Linked DNA regions of Drosophila melanogaster. The protein of the gene in region 3 interacts with the protein of the main gene of each other region in a pairwise test. Each region holds a gene or a part of one and is shown on either strand. Other genes may lie near its edges. The genes, in order: Bhmt, CG10814, CG17230 and CG5062.

Region 1 (4,866 bases), on a different chromosome or scaffold from region 3:
CGGAGATCCTTCTACCAACTTTGCCAGTTTTCCAGCGCAGCTCACGCCAACCAATAATGTGGGGAACTCTGCGCAGCTGGATGAGTTCAATGAGCCAATTTTCAATCCCTTCCAGGAAAACGCACAGAACACGCAATCAGGGGAAACTAATCAATGCGACCTGTTCGGCTTGGAACCATTTCCACAGGTAATTCGTACAATCGAACAGAACCCACAGCACCACCAGATCCACCAATTTCCCAGCCACAACAACAATAACAATGTGATCAAAGTGCCCGCCTCCGTATCTGTTGCTCTTCCTGCCTCCGTTCCTGTATCTGTTTCCGTCAATTCGTCTGCCCCACAACTGGTGACCATAAATCACTCGATTATTATCAACAAAACGCCGGAGCCACCGATGAACTATAATAATAATAATAATAACCAGACTGCTAAGTCGAGTGGCACCAGCAGTGTCTATGTGAATGTGCCGTCTTTCTCCAGCATGAGCACCAGTTCCTGCTCCATTAACCAGCCACAATCCTCACCAGCAGCTGTGATTCCAGTTCAGGCACCTCTTCCAGTTCCAGTTCCTGCCCCTGTTTCCGTTCCAGCCGTTCCAGTTCCAATACCAGCGGTCGTTACCCATCTGCGTCCTTTGCTGCCCATTGCCGATAATGCGTATGTGCAAATCTCCCAAGATCGCTGCTCAGATTTCACACCGGACGACGAGGAGGAACCCGTGGTGTTGCGTGATGCCGATGTGGTGGCAGACGGAATCGGTATACCTACCCCTGCGAAACCCAAGAAGGAGAAGTCCAATCTGGCTGTAAGGGTTCTGCCGGGAAAGCTCACCCAAAAGGTAAAGGGGCATTCGTACAAAAAAGTAAGCGCGGCTGCCCTTGGATCCACCAGTTCCCTTAGTTCCGGCAGCAAGCAGAAGCACCAGCGATTGCAGTACCAGTCCCACGATGATGACGACGACGAACAGGATCAGGATGAGAATCGAGGTGCTGGAGGCGGCCGCAATTTCCAATCAAACACCATTCAAAATTCTGCCAAAACCGGCTTCAGCAACATGAGCTTTGAGGACTTTCCCTCGGATCAGGAAATGGATCGTCTGTCCAGGACCATTCCCTTCGAGGTGGTTAGAAACGAAAAGATGTTACTCGAGGCGGAGAAGAAGTTCGGCTCCCTCAAGCGACGGAACAACTTGTTCTCATAATGTGGACAGTGGGGCGAGACCATCAAGGAGACCTGAGACTGAGTGTTTCAAATTATGTTGACATTTCGTTTAAGCTTTTCTCCGTTCCGTTTTTAATGTGGGGTTCCAAAAATAACCAATATCTGTATTTTTTGAATATAGTATTTATTCGCGTGTAGCAATGTTAAAAAGTGGCTAGTACCCATACATATTATACACACAACAAGAACAATACCTATAACTGTTATTTAGTGCAAAAATTTAAACTAGTTTTAGAAGCGAAACATGTTTTAGAATTTATACAGTGCGTAAGTTTACCAAAGTTACATTTATTTTTGTGGCATTTTTCAGCTTGAAGTATTTCATGAATTATATATTTATACAAAACTATGTGATTATACACCCACACCCAATAACAACCAAAAAAAAAAAAAAAACAATTTATCACCTAAGCCAATTGCATTCACTAACACACCAAGGTATTTAAGAATTAATTATTCTATCCGTATCGAATAACATACGCGTTTATGTTAGTACACCAATTGTTTTGCATTATGTATTATCTCGACTATATAAAATATGCATATTGTATTTATAATTTACTTCAGTGTTTTCTTTGGTTTCCTTGGGAAAACGCAACAAACTTGCCGCCCTCTCCTAAGCGAATGAAATTTGTATATCATCAACTGTATCAGCTGTTGGGTTGCTTCTAGACAAAAGATAATGCACAGACATCTGTTGCTTATCGAAAAAAATGTATATATAATGTTGCGGTTAAGTACCTCATACAAGTTTTTCTTCTCGTCAACCGCTTGTTGCTATTTTAGTACCTTTGTGACATTAAATGCCATTGAATTTTTACATTTTTACAGTAGGAACTGAACATAACTTGATTCCTACTTGTTTCGAAACATCTTTGATTCTTTATTAGATAACTATATTATTATTTTATTATATTATATGTAGCTATGTAGCTAGCTACAAAATTCAAGACACATTTCTTAGAATTCCAACTTATCGAGTGCTCACTGCACTCGTAAACAAAGAACAGCTGAGATGTGTTAGGGTATGTGTAGGTTTTTGCGTTGTGGAAACTCATACAAGATAAGCGGAAAAAGTTGCCAGCCCAAGCGAAAAAATCCGACAAAAATAACAAAAATTCCAAGTCGGCAATACTTACAATATCACGTATCTGTCAGATACGAAATTTTGTCGTATCGCATTGTACGCTTCCAGAAATTTGCAGTTTAACGGAAAACGTACAGCAGTGAAGACATGGAAGTGAATCAAAAATGGAACTGGGACACCAAGCCAATTCTGGTCAAATGCGGAGGATTCTCCTCGCAATTGGCCAAGAATGTCACCGAAAAAGTGGACGGTGATCCACTGTGGGGATCGCGATTCGATGCCACCAATCCGGAAGCTGTGATCCAAACACATCTGGACTTTCTTCGCAACGGAGCGGATATTATTCTAACCAACACGTATCAGTCCAGCGTCGAGGGATTCGTGAAGTACCTGGGCGTGACCAGAGAACGAGGTGTGGAGTTGATCCAAAAGAGCGTTCAACTGGCCAAGCAGGCAAAGGAACAGTACCTTAGCGAAATCGGTTCTGAAGCGGAGTCGGCTCTTCCACTGATCATGGGCTCAATAGGTCCATATGGCGCCTATCTCCACGATGGATCTGAGTACACCGGCAACTATGCGGACAAGATGTCCAAGGAGGAGCTGAGGGCGTGGCACAAGACAAGAATTGAGATTTGTCTCGCAGCTGGAGTGGATGGATTGGCCCTGGAAACACTTCCATGTCTGATGGAGGCAGAGGCAGTCACCGAATTAGTACTGGACAACTTTCCGGATGCCAAATTCTGGGTCTCCCTGCAGTGCATGGTGAGTAATATCGCAAAAAACAATAACATTCTTTATACAAAACAAGGGTAAAAAATATATCGTTCAATTACATTTAAAAATCCACTTTATGTTCCGATATTTTCAGGATGAAAAGCACATGGCTAGTGGAGAAAACTTCGCGGAGGCGGCTCTCTCCCTCTGGCGGTTGGTCCAAAGTCGGAAGGCTGAGAACCGGCTCCTTGGGATCGGTCTGAACTGTGTAAACCCACTATTCGTGACCCCTTTGCTATCATCGCTTACCAAAGTGGCCGGTTCGGATCGCATCCCACTGGTGGTCTACAGCAATCGCGGCGAGATCTACGACGTCGAGCAGGGAGATTGGACTGGAACCGGCGAGGAGGTGGTCAAGTTTGTGCCCGAGTGGATCCAGCTGGGAGTGCGCATCGTTGGCGGCTGTTGCCGGGTCTATCCGACGGACGTGTTGGCGATCCGCAAGTACGTCGATGGCCTCAACATAAAGCCGTAATCGGGAGAGAACTCCGGTCACTGATAGCAGCCTTGTCGCTAATGCGAAAGCTGTTTCGTGTGACTAGACCTAGACCTATTTAGTTTGCTAAATACATATACGCGAGTACTAGATGTACCCAGATCAGATGGCTTCCTAATCAGCAGAGTGTGGAAAAAAGCGTGGACGGCTGGCTGGGAGACAAACACAGATTAGGCGGGCGGACCAAAGGTAAACAAGTGGGCTGGGGATATGGGCAGACGTTCGCCCAACGACTGTTTTTGCCAACCTAGCTCAATTTTTGAGTCCAAATCAAAACAATTTTCTATTCAATTATAACACAAAAACGTGCATTTGTCCTTTGAAAAACTTGCTGTGTTCTTAGCTTTCTATTCTTTATAGCCGGATTTAAATTCTTTAAAATTAATATTGTTAAAAGTGTGTATGTATGTACTGATGTAAAGCAATAAACTACAAAAATATCAAAAATAGTTGTTTTAGTTATCTTCAATATATCATATTTTTAGTACAGTATTAAAATAATATCTTCATTAGAGATTCATCAAATCTAATCACTTCTTACATATGTACCAAGGCAAACGCCTTCTGGTACGCAAGGTACTTTATAGAGAAGGGTATGCCCTTCTATTCTTGCGGTTCTCGACTTTATCACTATGAAAGATATTTCAAAATTTTTTGGAACTTCATACCGCATTTTTAAAAGAGTACTTACATTTTTGGCTGTTGAAGCTTTTGAGGATGGTGGAGCCACATGTCCACCTATTGCACTCTGACCCAATCTGGCAATCAGCCTAATCGGATACTTCGTTCAAAAAACATGATTTTAACGGCCATTTTCAAATTGAAAGCCTTTTGTCGGTCAATCTCTTACTTTACATTTTACTTTATTTATTTATTTATTTATTTATTTTTTTTTTGTCCAAATATTAATAACAATCATCACTTTAAGCTCATCTCTTTTAGAGGAGATTTTATTTGATATATCTTATGTCTTATTTCCTGTTCATTAGCGATTTGTTTACCAGAATAGGGGTTAAATGTTGTTTTTCTCTTTGACATCAGTAGACCTATTTTTGGACCATAATCTATTGAGTGCGGTCGGAAGCTCACCCATTTTCCTTTAAGGAGGACAGAGTCAACAACCAAGTACATCTTGAAGTGTTGGTCCTAGGCGGCGTCCAGAGGTTATCGGCGTCGACTTAGCAGATGCGACATCCCGAGCAGAGTCACTCGGAAGCCAGAACCACGCACAGCGGCGCTTTGACGATTTCATCAGCTTCATCAGCCTCGTGGAGGGGGAGTCGCA
Region 2 (4,769 bases), on a different chromosome or scaffold from region 3:
CCGAAAACTCGCACACATTCCGAAGAAATTGGATTTGCGACTGGTTGCCTTTCTTTCTTCTTGGGCATTTTCCGCTTGCATTTGGCTCGTTTTTTATGGCCTGCCCCCTCCCCAATCGTCTCCCATTCGAAGTTCCCGGCCCGTTGACTTTTATGAACTTATAAACAAGGGAAACGGGGCACAACCCTTTCGGCCTGTTGCTGCCACAGCTACTTCCAGTGCTTATTATGTGGATTATTAGAGGGATTTACCCGATGCCATGTACAAATTCATGTGCTCCAACTCGGATTTCGGATTCCGGCTGCTGGCTGTCGGATGCCGGGTTGCTTCCTCTGCTACCTCACTTGGTCCTGGTGGCATCAATGACATAAATAAAAAGATTTCCAAAGGATTTGCCTGCGGGACACCGCACCCAAACACCCGAAAAGAAAAGCGAAGGGAAAACACCCCGACATTCCAGCCAAGTTTTCCCAGTCCAATGAAAATCATGAAGGTGTGTGGGTGTGATTTACTCGCATGCCAAGAGCTAAGAGCTCTGCCAAGTCGGTGTTGATCTGGGCATTGCCATAAATTGATAATAGAAATATATACCTATTGTACATATACATATATATGGACATACTGGTTGAAATTTGACTCAACTGGCCACTGATAAGCCACTTTGTTGCCCGGCGTAAACAATGACGTGTGCTGGACTTTCACTTCCAGTGGCCTGTTTGGCTAGCAGTTGTTGAATCACGGATTTGCCTGCATACCCTGTAATTTAGGTTAGGTTATCTAATATTGCTCATGAAGCAATTTATACTCTTACCATTTTAAATTAAATTAATATTTTCCAATTTTTGTTGAATTGAATACTTATAGTAGTCTCCAAAATTCTACCTATATATTTACGAATGAATAATACATTTTATAGTTTTGAATATCAGCGTATAGTCTAATATTCCTATGTCACTTTCTTACAGGGTAGCGAAACTAATAGAATTACTTATCAGCCAGAGATGTTCACGTTTAACAGATTAGTAAACTTCTCGAGTGACTTCTTCTTCCTCTTCAAAATGCCTTAAATCACACGTTTAACCCAATTAAATAATGTCAATTAGCATTGAAGCGTGTCAAAGGATTAGAAACCATTAAAATAGTATTTATTCAAAATGTCAATAAATGGTTTAATTTCTCGAGCACAATAAATTCGAAAGTAATCTAATGATTCTACTCTGTCTATTGCTACCACATTGCGATGTCAATCAAAGCATTTTGGCATTGATAGATGGCTAATTAATGTAGCCATAACATAACATGTGCTTGCTGCTCCTGCTATCTAAGGAGCATCAGGTGGCTTTGGCATTCCGCAGGACCCTCAGGCGCGAGTACACAATGTCCCAGTCAACGAAGGCGCCCAGAATGTGGCGCACATTGCGGTCCGTGTCGTCGTACCCGGTACGTCCGTGGACCAGGCGCAAATTGTCGAACGTGAGCACGTCGCCGGGCGTGGTCTTGAATCTGCAGGAGTGCTCGTGGGCCAGGCCCACAAAGGTGGCCATCGCCTCGTACCACGGACGCACCTGCTCCACCGGCACGCTAAAGTGGCTGTCGCGCTGCGGAATGCTGTGGTTGATGCGCACACACCGGCCCTCCGCGTCCAAGCTGCAAGAGATCGAAATGTTAGCCAAGTTCTGCTGGGGCAACTATGCATTTCCCCTCGTCAACAAATTGTTACCTCCACCTAAAAATATCTGAAATATTTTTCAAGATAACTGAAACATTTCAAGTTGCGAGAAAAATAGATTTTAAAAGTGCAGAATTTGCTTGAAAAATATGAACTCAAAATAAGCATTTTTATAGTCTGACTGCACCTAAATGTATTCTTAAGTCGCCCTAAGCAATCAAAGGAACTCCATCAATATAAATCTCCTTTACTGGACTCCCAATCTAAATCTACTCACTTGATGACCGGTGCCCTCCAGATATTGTGAAACTGCAGATCGCCGTCGCTTCCGATGTCCGCCCAGTCCACGGGAGTCTGGCAAAGAACCCGGAACTGCTCCGGATAGCGTTCCCTCATCACCTCCGCCACATAGAAGGCATCGGCCAGCAGATTGACACCCCCGGGCGACGCGGACTGCTCCAAGGTGTGCAACATGGTCACTCCGGGCAGGTACTCAAAGTAGGGCATATCCGTGTGTAGCGGGAGTGGTGCGGCCAAGTAGGCGTAGTTGCTGCCTCCAGGCTGAGCCCGAACACTGAACTCCTCTCCATAGGTGGTGCGCCTCATGAAGCCCACTCGGTTGGACAATCTCCGAAGGACGTCCATATCGAGAGGGGCTTCCTTGACCATGGCCACTCCGTAAACTGCCAGATGCTGGAGCCATTGCTGCAACGCCGAATCGCAATCGAGCAGTTCTTGGTAGTAGAACACCTGACGGATTTTCTCAAAGTCCAGACCGCTCCACAACTTCTGCTCCGGGCGGTAAAAGTCACGCAGGTAACGCTGGCGATTCGCGTATGAGAAGTCCCGCTCCCTCAGCCAACTGAACGGATACTGGGAGGTATGTCCATCGGACCACTCTATACACAGGACCCTCTGGTCCACGTCCACGCTCTGCCGCAGGACCCGCACACTGGTGTCCAGATGGTTCCACAGCTGGGGCAATCTACTCAGTGTCTGTGGCAGATAGCACTCCTCGCAGCGGCAATTATCGCGCAGCCAAATGTCTGGAAACTGCATGTCCCGACGATCAGGATCGGGAACCTGAACCAGGCGCGACTGATCCTGCTCCTTTGGCAGAGCCAACTTAAGCGGTTGGCTGGGCAAATCTCGGCGGTCCGCTTGGAACATCTTGAGCAACCTACCACTATGTCTTCCGATTGCGGAATGATGTGCCTGATTAGGGCGGTGAGCAAGAAGCCCACGCTCAGGGGTACGTGGCCAAATTGATGGACCAGATTAAATAACGCGTGATGTTTACATAGCTACACTTAAAAAAAGGAAGTACGTACTATATTTTTCTAAGTTTTTAAGCTGTTTGCTTATATTTGCTGTTTGATATTTAAGAATTAGCTGAGAAATGACAAGAAGCCTTGCGTAATATGTTCGAATATCATATTATCACCTGATCCAATTTATTATACTATTATATATGTTATCCCTTAGATGATATACTTTAGATATATTGTATGTAGACATACTGTTTAGAATATATTTTCCTAAATACATACTAATTTATGTGAATACTTTGATATTTGTAACTTATTGCATAAATATAGATATCTAGAAACTCGCTTTTTTTTTCTTTAAGTGTTCGACCATCCAAGTCTAACCCTTATCAATCCTTTGTGAGCAGTGCAGATTGCTGTCGCAGCGTTTTTTTTTTTCTTGTTTTTAGCTGGGCTCCCCTTGCTTAAAGCCCCCGCCCGCCACTGGAGCTGTAAAATTAAAAATGCAAAATTAATTTCTGCATAAAACTGCTAACGCCAGCGATTTTGCATAATTGTTTGCCAGCTGCAGTCGAGCTGGAAAGGGGCGTGGCTGTGGAAAAGCGCGCCATCTTCGACAGCCCTTTCATGGCGCCTCCCCCCATGCCACGGCGACGCCCCTGGTCGCGGGAAGTGGCGTCAATCATTGTTAGGCGCATTGATCACTTCATTCACATGCTCACATGCCACACCCACATCGATTGTTTCACTCAAACCAGTGGTGATTGCAATGCGAACATCCTGCTCGACAGCGTTGGAAAATCATAAACAATAACCATTTCATGCCGGGGAAAACAACAACGAGCAGAGAATCGGCCGGCAACAAGCATATCTGGTAACCAGTATATATGGCGCGATTTTTAATTATCACTTTCGCATTCGCATTCGCATTCGCATTTTGTATTCGAGTGTATTGTCTGGCGCGAATACGACTCGTATCTATCCATCTACGGCGGCTCTATAACCGCCATTTCCACCATTTCCACTTCCATTTGCATTTCTCCCCGAAACAAAGAATGCGAGTGGAACAATCCATCGAATGCTCAGCTTTTAGCTGAGATTCTTCTCAGCGAGTAAATGTATCTTAAATGTAAGATATAAGGTATCGCAGATACATTGCCAACAAGTTATGAGAAGATATAGCTTGAATAAAGGTAGAACGTTTCAATGGATTGGTTTTAATGTATATTTTTAAGAAAGTATTGTAAAAAATTATATATCTTGTTGTGATAACTTTATTATATTAGTACTAGGCCTACAGCAGATTCTAAGAAACTTGAAGAGCATTAGAAATGCGGTATGCAGCACGATGCAGCGTCTACATTTCATGCATTGTTTGGAAGGAGTCCCAGTTTCCCCCAGCAGAACTTTATTGTTTTCAATTAAAAACACTCACAGCCCATTCAGCTAACGAATCCATTCGCTCGGCAGTTTTCATTGCGAGTATTCCCGTATTCATAGGCTCGAAGGCAGCGGCAGCGAAAGCCGGCGACATGACACAATTGCAGATGCAAGTGAAATGTAATGAGGTGTAATGAAAATGCATTCAAGTGACAGTTTTTCCCCATTCGCCGCGCAGCTCCATTTCGCCAGCCCACCTGCACTTAACAATAATCAGGCACAACAATAGTGACAAATATCGATGAAATGAGCGATGAGACAGAGTAATGAATTTCTCGGAGAAAAAAAAAAGGTAGATTCACTCAAAGTGTTTATTTTGAAAAGCAGCGATCCGAATAAGTCTGTTTTTATTTGTTATTTTTTAATAACATTTCAAAACAGGCAAATCCGTG
Region 3 (5,614 bases):
ACTCATTAAATTAAAATTATATTTAATAACCGCGAGTGCACGCAGCGCCCGGCGATTTGCTCTAATGCCCAACGACCAAACCTCGCGCCCACTTGCACCACTTGCAGCGAGTGCCCCACCCACCATTTGGCAGAGAATAACCGCCGCCCACTTGGGTGCATTCCGTGTTTTATTGTTGCAGTTCCCGCCCCGCCGCCGCTGCCCTCGCTGGTGCCCAAGGCCCCGCCACCGCCGCCCCCGCCCCTAGCTCCCGGTGAGAAGAGAGTGCTCAGCAGCACACAGAAGGAGACCCTCGAGAAGCTCAGGTGAGTGGAAACCTCGACGACTGACCCATGAACCCTGACCACCGCCAGTGCTTGCATACCCGAATATCCTGGCATCGGGATAGTTTTTACCTTGAAGGCGCAGAATGGCCATAATTCCGATTCGCTTCGATTCGCAGGACTCGACCCCGAAGGCGCCCCGACTGGTCCGAGATGATGAAGGAGGTGGAGAGCGGCAAGAAGCTGCGCCATGTGGCCTGCAACGATAGGTGAGTGGTGTCCGCATGCTGTGCAGTAATTACCGACTGCAATACTCCCGATAATTAAAAAGGGAATGAAAACTGAAGTTATTTAAGGCCACAGGAAAGAGTACCTAGAGCATCTTACTGCGTTTACGCCACTTTATCCGGCAAATGTTAATGACTTTTACTTAAATTTTAAGTGTGCAGAAGTACCAGCAGCCAAATAATAGATAACTCTGCACGAAAATGTTCAAAAATCTCTTTTATAACAATTCAAATCCTAATAGATCTCAGCCCATCCTGACGTGCAAGTCGATAACCAAATTGGACGACAAGTTCATCTACGAGACGGAGAAGGGCAACTCGCACAACAAGCTGCTCAAGCAGATCCAGGGCGGCATCAAGTTGAAGCCAACGAAGACCAACGATCGCAGCAAGCCGGTGCTGGACGGTCTGCGCAAGTTCCGCCGACAGATGACCATCGAGGAGCAGTTGCAGAAGTCGCAGTCGAAGATCAACATGCTCAGCGAGGCGCCTAGCAGCCATGCACTCGGACCGGGCAGTGCCACGGCCTTGGGAGCCGGAGGATCCCGGCCCAGCATCGTATCGGCTATGTCCATCGACGAGGAAAGCCCCGACGAGCTGGACGACATCGACAAGATCCGCGACGATCTGCAGAGCACCAAACAAATGCTGGCACTGGAGTTGCGAAACCGTGAGGCGCAGGATCGCGAGAACAAGAAGCTGCTGGCCAAAATCCGCACCCTAGAGACCGAACTGGAACGCGAGAAGTCACGCGAAAAGAATCTCGAGTACGGATCCAATGTGATTGTGGCCACCATGGATCCTACGCCCACCGCCGAACAGACCTACGTCAACTCCCTGAAGCGCGAGGTAGAGGACGCACGGAAGGTGTCCAAGGAGGTGGAGCAAAACTATCAGAGCACCGCCGAGCAGCTGGTGGAGGCCAAGACGGAGATCGAGGAGCAGCGCCGCCAGATTCAGTTGCTCGAACGCAAGTTGGCAGCAGCTCTTCAGGTAATTCCTTTTGCAGAACGGGTTCGGTAATATGTATATGTAGGTAATGGGATGCTGCTCAAAGTGTTGTCAGTTGAGATTAGGATTTTGGATTACAACCATTTACAACATAACTATCTCCAAGGGTATGCAAAGCATCGGACTCCGAAGCTAGTCCTTCTTTCTTGTTTTTAGTGTCGCCGGCGTCGCCTCGCTGCGTCCGCTGAGGGCGGCAAGTAGACGGGAGCAGCTAACGAAGCCACCGCAATTCGTAGACTCCGCCTTAGATCCCTCGTTAGTTGTCCCTAGTAGCCACTGTAGCCAGAGAAACAGATCAGCTGACAACACTTGACACAAATGTGGAATGGGTCTGGGAAAGGATTACCCGTGGATACACCTTGTTTTCTTCCTTCTTAAAAACGGTTTGCACACGAGACTTAAAATACCAGAAATCTGATTGAAGCCAGCAGACAGCTTGCTGTTGAGAAGGAATCAGACAAGTTGAATAGTAAAATTATTATCAAGAGAAAGCGAAAAATGAAATTCAAAACTGACCATATTTTATCAAAGCTCAATTTGTATTAAATTTCGGAAGCCATACTTTTCAAGTAAGGTGCCTTCATCCCTTACCTGTGCTATCTGTTTGCTTGCACACAATTCCAGACAAAACAAAATCAAGTTTCTGGGGAAATGCTCAAAAGGTTCCAGAATTTTTCTTTAAGCAAATAATGGACCTGGCCATGCCATGGTAGACATTAAAAAATGTAATCTTTATCAAAACGAAACGAGAGGTATAAACAATGTCCGAAGATCTCGTGTGTAGACGACCTTAAACTCCAACTGCCGGACGCATGCTGCATGAAAGACTCCCGCCACCCGCATTCTGCTTCCGCCCAGACCAAAGCGGTGTTATGACCCGTCTAGGACACGTCCGGTCCCGATTCCTATCCCCCTGAAAGCTTTGCTATTGCACTCCGCGGCAACTAACCGATTAACCCGTTCACGCTCTCTTGCAAAGGCGACACCAAGCACTAACAGACCGCACATTAGTAATTGCTTTGCTTACGACGACGACGACTACGACGATTGCTTCCACTACGACCACTACCATGCAGCACGGCATCAGGTAAAATCAGGCCCCGCTCAAGGATGCCCTCACTAATCCAATGTGTGTATCCCTTCTTTCCCGTTTTCCGTTTTGCATTAACTGCGGCTGCAGGGCGGTGGATCCTTGGACGGATCGCGTCGACCAAGCGATGCAAACTTTGGAAGGGATAGCTCGCCGGAACTGGAGCCTGAGGTCAGCGAAAGCGATCCTGACGAGCCGGAGGAGAAGAAGGTGGAGCGCAGGGAGCGTCGCTCTGGCAAGGAGCTCAAGATCCTGCGTAGCAAGCTTACCAAACTGAAGGTCAAAGAGGAGGCGGCCAAGAAGGAGAAGGACGCCCTCAAGCAAGCCATGAAGAAGAACCAGAGTATCCTCAAGTGAGTACAAATTGTAATGTAGTATTGTTCTTAAACTGGAAACAACTCTGGATGACAGGGAGGAGAACAAGAAGTTTAAGAAGCTGGAGAAGGAGGTGCAGAAGATGGCTGCCTCCATGAAGCTAGACGAAGACGATGTGGACGGCGAGGAGAAGGACGAGGACGAAGAGGAGGCCGAGGAGGAGCACGCCAGCGAAGAAGAGGAGGAATCCGACGACGAGTCCGAGGAGTCCGAATCGGAGGAAAGTGAGGCGGAGACGGGCAGCGAGTCCGAGCCAGAGGTGAGTTAGCCCCAGAGAATCGTAAACTATTTAGCCAGCTCACCTGTACCGTATTCCGCAGGACTCGCCCAACTCCGCGAAGAAGGCGAATGTGGAGCCGCGCGTGAAGAAGCACGAGAGCCGGTTCGCGGCGATGAAGAAGTGCAATGTGCTGCTCCAGGCGAACGTCGACAATTTGCAGGATCAAATTGTGCAGGTGCGATCGCGGGCCACCAATCTGCAGGACGAACTGGACGCGGTTATTGCCGATTTGGGCTTCTAGTCCCTCAGCTTGTCTTCCGTTTCTGTTTCCGTTCCTTGCTCTGTTTTTTCGAGTGTGTGTGCTTCGAGAATATAAACATAAACAATAATAAACAAACAAACAAACGAAAAACTAGAGGTGGATGTAAAATTAATTCTGCAATCGATGTATGATGTCGATGTATGTATCGATGTCGCGCCGTCTGTATTCTACATGTAACGGAATTTTTACAAAGTAATGTAAAATGTTGTGTCGCTGTAGATTTGAAATTTTATTGTTTATTTATAACTATTTAAATGAATTATATAAAAATGTAGTGCAAATTTGCATGTAGAAGAGCGTGAAATTCAAATGCAAATTATAACTTGTTTTTATTTTATTCATAAGTTGTATTTATTACCGTATTTTAAGCATGTATAACAATGTACAAAACAACAAATCGGCGAAATTGGCTAAACTAAACACGCACTACGAGTATTTACTTATGAGTGGAGTGGATATCACGCGTCCCTTCTTATATATTTTGATTAATCTACGATCTGAGCCTTGATATAAGTAGAGTCTACGATGAATGAACCGGGTTTGCTGCCGGCCACTGATGCTTGCCGGGATTGGGTGAGAACGATGTGACAAGACGAGGGAGAAACCGCGAACTCTTTTAGTTGCTCTGGAACCACACTATTCCAGCAGGATGAGCCTGAATCGCTTCCGCAGCGACGACTCGCGTGGCAGGGTGCCTGCCCATTTCTTCAGGGCCGTCAGAACCACAGATCCCATCACCATCACCGCACCCACCAGCGAGTAAGCGGTGGGCGTCTCTCCGAAGAAGAGCATCTGCCAGACGAAGGCGAAGACGATGTCGGCGCAGCGAGCAATGGCCACTGGTCCGGCCTGTTCGATCTGCAGCGATAGCGTGAGCAGGATCTGGCCCAGGAAGCTGAATACGCCCAGTACAACGACCAGCCAACGATCCCGTCCGCAGCTTGGCCAGCACACAGCTCCAATAGATGCGCAAACGATCAGTGTGTAGACCAGAGCGATGGTACCGAAATTCGTCATGATGACGGAGAAGTGCAGGTTTTTGAGCGCCCGCAGCAGGATGTACACATTGGCTCCGAAGAGTGTGGATGATATGGCGGCCACTGGTCCCCAGATGTCGTACGTCTTCCCAGCGACATCCTCACTCTCCGCCGTGTCACCGAACACAAAGGGTGGGCGCGTGATGAGGACCACGCCGAGCAATGTCATATTGATGGTCAGGACATTGAACAGCGTACACGGCTCCTTGAGGAAGGCACGCGCAAATATGGCCACGAAAACGGGCGTGGAGAAGATGATGACACTCGCATCGGCCAGGGGCATGTGTCGGAAGGCATAGAAGCTGAGCATCAGACCCGTTGTGCCCATGAAGCAGCGCAGCAGCAGTATCACCCTCTTGCCCTCCGGAAACACCGGCTGTCGCGTGTATATCAGGATGGGCAGTGCCGGCAACAGGACTCCGACGAATCGAAACGAGGCCAGCTCCATGGGGTTCACGTCCACCAGTCCCTTCACAATCACCGAGCACAGGGAGAAGAAGAGCGAGGAGAGCGTGGCCAGCAGGATACCCAAGTAGGGACAATCGGCGCCCAATCGTCGCTGCAAGCGCTCCAGCCAACGGGGGGCGGGATCTGGGGGCGGGGCGCCCTCCTGGAACTGCTGAAGCTCGAGGTTTTCCGGCATTCTGTGGGGTTTCTTCTCTACAGTTTCTGGATTCCTTCAAAGTTTCAGCATCCTGCAAATGGGATTTGCATCAATATGTGTGCATGAGTGTGGGGAGTCTAATGGTAGCCCACCTGCCCTGAAAAATCGATTTCTTTCGATTGCCTTCCTTATTTACGCGCTGTGTCACTGTCTGCTGCCGCCTTTTCTGCGTTTTCAATGGCACATCGTTTCCCCGCCGCCAGTTTCACTGAGTTTTATTCATTGTTTGCACGCTCCGACTGCGTTTAATTAAACATTTTTAATTCTTTTCGCGAATGGAGATTCCGGAAAACCCTGTGGGCCAGTATTGCCACCCCGAAGATCTTAGTCCAGCCAACAATGCCA
Region 4 (5,092 bases), on a different chromosome or scaffold from region 3:
GTGTGTGAATATTTGCCATAAATGCTGCATCATGGCAAGTATTTAAGCCATTGAGAGGCATTTTCTGCTAACCCAGAAACACATTCATCTCGGCCTTTTTGCTTGCTGCTAGTTCATTCAAGGGCAATATTCTTCTGCATCATTAACCCGCCGCTATGCCGATGGATGGATGACCCACAGCCATGCAGTCACGGTCAGCTTAACCCATTCGTGCCCGTGTGCCTGTTTCTTGTGAATATTTCACAAAATCGAATCAATAGTCATCCGAGTGAAATTAATTTTTGCTAATTTCGCGAATTTAAGTGAAACAAATGCCTCTCTACTTAAACTCAACTTAATTTACCCTAATCCTTGTGTGTCTGTGTGCGCCTTTTTAACCCCCACTCATCTATCGTGGGTTAATTCCCAAAGACGTATTAGCCCGGCGAAATTTATCCAACTCAATTAATCTCAGCGTTCTGTTCTCTGACTTTACAGAATTGATAGCTTCGTGCGAGAAGGCGTGGCTGTGGCGCCTCTTTTGTGATTTATACTCGATTTCGCTGCGTGTTTTGCTTAGTTTTTATCCTTTATACGAATAAATGATATTCAACAAAACTGCGCGAAATCCCTAGATCATAAACTAGTTAATAATTAACCTTAAATAAAACAGTAACACCACTGCCCAAAACTGCATTTGAACCCATTGTTTTTGATTACTTGTGTGGCTAATTATTTTTGCAGCCGCAAATGCGACAGGATAAAGTTGACTTTTAGTTGCACCGAATACCGTGTGCAATCTGTGTGCATATTTAATACATGCAAAAGAGTGAGCGCAGCGATAGAAAAAACTTTGTTTGCTCTATCAGCTGCTGCTTAATGAGTGCCAGTCTATATATCCTTTTGTCTGCGGTCTGCAGTTTTAACTTGTTGAATTGACAGCAAACAAAAAAGGCGAGGAACACACGGAAAAGTTGCCACCACAGGGTGGCTAAAATACGTGCATATACATTATGTACATTTTATATGTGCTGCAAGTTTTAATTCCGCCAAGCTCGAAAAGTCATCATCTATGCCATTGTCAACTTGAGTTCATGTGTGTGTCTGTGTGTGTGTGTGTGTGTGTGTGTGGGAGTGAGTGTGTGCGCGTGTTTGATGCTGTCTGTCTATGGATGGATTTTTAGAAAATATAACTATCTAAGTGAATTCAGCGCCCAGCTTCTTTTTGTTGCCAGCATTGGCGACACGACCCTTTAGCGATTGCACCGCCAAATTGGGCAGACATCCGCGCTTTTGTAGATCATCCAGTTTGACTGTGATCACCGTATCGATTTCCTTTTGCCGCTGCGCCTCAGCTGCCCGCTCCCTTTCGAAGGCCAAGTGTTCCTCCTCCAGTTCGCGGCGACGAGCCTTCTCCCGTTCTTCGATTTGGCACGAGACACTGGAGCGCAGACAGGCCTTTTTGATGGCCTGCTCCTCGGCCTCGCGCTTCATTTGCTCCTCGTGCTTCTTTCGATACTCGATCATCTCCTTTAGTTCGCGTTCACGTTGCACATAGAAGCAGGCCTTCATTTGGCTAAGATGCTCCATTTGCTCCATATTGGCACGCTTGAGTTCGGCGGCCATTTTGCGTTCCTTTTCGGCTGCCTTACGTTCGTTTTCTCTGTACTTTCGTTCGAGGCGTTCGTGTTCCGCCAGGAAATGCATCTCCTCGCGATTATCCTTAGCATCGAGAATCTTTTGGCCGACTGCAAAGAGAACATCCCGTTTGCGTTTCTCATCCGCCGCGATGGCTTCGCGTTCCGCTCGCTGTTGTTTCAATTGCTGCTCCTTGAGCTTTAGATACTCGTAGGCCCTGTTCTCATCTCTTTGATCCTGTTCGCACATCATCCGTACGAAATTGCGATGCAATTTCGTATACTTATTCAATTCATCCCGATAGGCCAGCTTACGGCGCGATTTCATCTCGCCCTCTGCCAATTCAGCCTTTTTATACTCATCGACGGCGGCACGCAAGTCTCGCGCCTCCAATCGCAGACGATCCTGGGCCAGGAAACGTAACTTTTCGCGATCAGTGATTTGTTCACGCACTGCGTTGCCAAATTGCCGGCGCCTCTCCTCTTCGGCCTGATCTTGCTGCTCCACCGTGCCCCATTTGGCATTGTTGTAGTCGCGATTCTTGCGAGCCATCTCCTCGTCATGATCGAGTTGAATGCGATTGAGTAGCTTCCTTTCCTGTATCTGAGCCGTCCACATGGCACTGCATTTGGCCTCGGATATCGCACGCGTGGCATCCTTAACTCGCACATCTGACTCGTATTTGGCATCCAAGGCGCGGTGTAGTACCTACAATGGGTGGTGGAGATATACTTTCGGAAATATGGCTAAGAACCATAAACCAAAAAACTACCTGCAATCGTTTGGCCTCCGCACGCCGATCCTCGTTGACATCCTCATCGGCCTCGTCATCGTCCCTCTTCTGGGCCTCGCGCTCCTTCTCCCTGCGCTGCTCATCAATGTCGTGGAAATAGTTACGCATACGTTCCGCTTCGGCTGTATGATATTGCTGCTCCTCCATCCGGCGATCCTGTTCCGCGCGACGCTCCTCGGTGGTACGCGGCCTCGATGCCCGCATGCGATCCAGTTCGCACTGTGAGAGCTCCGCATAGCCCTTGGATTCCCATGATTGACCCTTGATGTGAAAGAACGTGGCCTTGGCACCGTCGTATTTTCGGGCTCGCGGTGGCGCCTTACCGCCACCCACCGCCGAACGTGTGATCTTCTGTCCAGGCACGGCTACTGGATTCGGTAGACGTGTGCCGGGCGGTAATGGTCGCCTCTGAACCTTTGGCTTTACGGGTCTATCACGGCGTACGCCACATAGTGGCTCCTCTTCGACGGTCGATAATGGTGGCGTTTCCAGATAAATCGGCTTCTTAAGTCGATCATAGCAATCCGGGTGCAGTTTCATCGCAGCTCGCGAACGACATGGCATCACCATTGGCATCTTGACGAATTCTATTCTATATGTATATCGCGTTTGAAATTGCAAATGGCCAGAGGGGTGTGGGGTAAAACGCAATAGCAGATTTCTCGCTTAGCTATTGAGTTTGTTCCTTTGTTCGGTTTGTTGGCGTGTCTGTTTGTGTTATTTGCTCGGAGGCTCTTGTTTTGTTTGCTTGTTTCGTATATTTCGTTTGTTTATCCAATCGAATCTGGCAGGTTAAATCTACATGAATTCAAAGCTTGCTGGGTATAGCATTACAATTACAGGGTATTTGCTGGGAATGTAGGCTCACAGGTACTTTTTGAATCATAGAGTTCCTTTAATAGGTCGGTTATACATTTGAGTATCCCAAAATTAAACATGCTCGTGTACGCTGCTTCTACACTTGTTCACACCTGACCACTTGAGTGTCGTTTTTTGTCGAGTGGCAGGTGAGAAGGAAAAACTAGAGGATAAGTGAAGGGGGGGGGGGGGGGGCGAGGATATATGGAAAGCTAGTTGGGGGAAAAAGGGAAAGGCTGCCGCCGCTGCTGCATTTACTTCCGCCTGCTTTGGTTGCATTCGAAGGCGTTGATGCTTGCATTTTGGAATAGCCCCGACAATTTGCATTCTTTGTATGTAAGTGCCACGCCCATGGCCCGCTTGCCCCACCGCCTACTCTCCCTTCGAAATCCAGCCACCAGGTAGGTGGCATGAAAATTTAATTACACGCCTCGCTGAAACGCAGTGCCTGAATATAGGGGTCGCTGGTTTATTTTTTTTATATATTTTTTTTGTGAAAATCTCGCTGTTGCCCGTAGATTAGGCTGGTGAGAGAAAAAAAAGGATAATGGAGGAATATATATAGTTCAACAAGCTGGCTTTTAAGCAGGGCTATAATACCGCATGTCACTTGCTGCTCGAAAGTGCTCGAAAATGATTATTTTTGCTCAAGTTATGCTTATTTTACGGTATTTTGGTATATGTATAACTTAACTAGCCGGAGTCTTTTGTGCACTCGATACTGACCAAATTCCATTTTAGTCGTCATATGACGAATGCTGGAAGAGAATTCGAAACCGAAACTCAATATCCAGCCCATAGTGTTTGTCTTGTCTATTTGTGTGGCGCTTGTGTTGTTGGGCGCACAAAGAGACATCTCCATCTACTACGCTACTCGACACCCAATACCAAATACTCGAGATTCCGATGAGATGGTGTGGTGGCCGTGGGGCAAATGGTTGCCTTCACTATGGACAACCAACAGCGACCACCTCTGACTGCATGGGTTCCGCCCGAAATACACTCCTGTTCGCCAGACATCAATAACACCGATGTTTCTCACATCGCGCTGAGCGTGAAGTTTTTGCCATAAATATGAATTATTTTTTTTTTTTGGCAAGCAGCTAAAAATCATATTACGTACTATAATATATACGACAAGGGGGGGCATCGTCTCCGTAAAACTTTTCTCACATTTCAATGGCAATAAAAGTGATTTAATAAGGCGCAAAACAACACAACAAAAGGGGCAAAAAAAAAAAAGGGGGCGTACAAATTTTTGGGCAAGGGCAGCGGGCAAGCCAGCCAGAAAAGCGAAATCAATTTGATTTGTCGCCGTAGACGACGACGACGATGGTGGGCGGTGGGACGATCCACCGACCACGCCCATTGCGTGTGATTAAGTGCGCGTTTAATGTGCACGCCATGGCCATAAAACAAATTGTATGCAATCCTGCCACCGAAAGCTTTCGCAATTTACTCCCCACACAACTCTGGAGGAGATTTACCCGGCTTCATCTGTGTGCGTGTGCGTGTGCGTGTGCAATGCTACTACAACTACTACTACAACTACTACAACAACAGCCTCCGTGGGTTTATTCCTCTTTTCTCGCAATCCTTCTTCATTTCAGAGTTCCGTAACTGATTTTGACCCGTAGTCCGTTGGGGAGGCTAAAAACTTTTACAGCTCTCGCTCTGTGCGAGCGCTTTGAAATGTAAATACGGCTCATTATTTCCAATGCCTTGCCATTCATTTGCAAAGTTTCCAGTTTGCCATGGCCCTCACACACACTAACACACACACGCAGCTGCAGCAGCAGCAGCACAACACACACACAGTGGACC

The links.
Region 1: the proteins of CG17230 (region 3) and Bhmt interact in a two-hybrid assay, tested with the Drosophila melanogaster proteins (one large-scale study listed by BioGRID).
Region 2: the proteins of CG17230 (region 3) and CG10814 interact in a two-hybrid assay, tested with the Drosophila melanogaster proteins (one large-scale study listed by BioGRID).
Region 4: the proteins of CG17230 (region 3) and CG5062 interact in a two-hybrid assay, tested with the Drosophila melanogaster proteins (one large-scale study listed by BioGRID).

The regions. Positions count from the first base shown.
Region 1 is NT_033779.5:18,954,638-18,959,503, reverse strand, and holds Bhmt (Betaine-homocysteine S-methyltransferase), read left to right. Parts: upstream 1-2,192; 5' UTR 2,193-2,458; coding exon 2,459-3,073; intron 3,074-3,179; coding exon 3,180-3,560; 3' UTR 3,561-4,023; downstream 4,024-4,866. Other genes in the region: Nak (Numb-associated kinase), read left to right, coding at 1-1,204. UniProt on the Drosophila melanogaster protein: Involved in the regulation of homocysteine metabolism. Converts betaine and homocysteine to dimethylglycine and methionine, respectively.
Region 2 is NT_033778.4:13,374,850-13,379,618, forward strand, and holds CG10814 (uncharacterized protein), read right to left. Parts: upstream 2,883-4,769; 5' UTR 2,840-2,882; coding exon 1,947-2,839; intron 1,648-1,946; coding exon 1,332-1,647; 3' UTR 1,126-1,331; downstream 1-1,125.
Region 3 is NT_033777.3:11,435,814-11,441,427, reverse strand, and holds the start of CG17230 (uncharacterized protein), read right to left. Parts: upstream 3,644-5,614; 5' UTR 3,548-3,643; coding exon of another isoform or gene 3,347-3,547; 5' UTR 3,329-3,346; intron 3,286-3,328; coding exon of another isoform or gene 3,063-3,285; intron 3,005-3,062; coding exon of another isoform or gene 2,742-3,004; intron 2,649-2,741; coding exon of another isoform or gene 2,541-2,648; intron 1,544-2,540; coding exon of another isoform or gene 793-1,543; intron 533-792; coding exon of another isoform or gene 443-532; intron 306-442; coding exon of another isoform or gene 182-305; intron 1-181. Other genes in the region: sals (sarcomere length short), read left to right, coding at 182-305, 443-532, 793-1,543, 2,541-2,648, 2,742-3,004, 3,063-3,285, 3,347-3,547; CG5281 (uncharacterized protein), read right to left, coding at 4,205-5,248.
Region 4 is NC_004354.4:5,179,195-5,184,286, forward strand, and holds CG5062 (uncharacterized protein), read right to left. Parts: upstream 3,176-5,092; 5' UTR 2,987-3,175; coding exon 2,390-2,986; intron 2,326-2,389; coding exon 1,177-2,325; 3' UTR 988-1,176; downstream 1-987.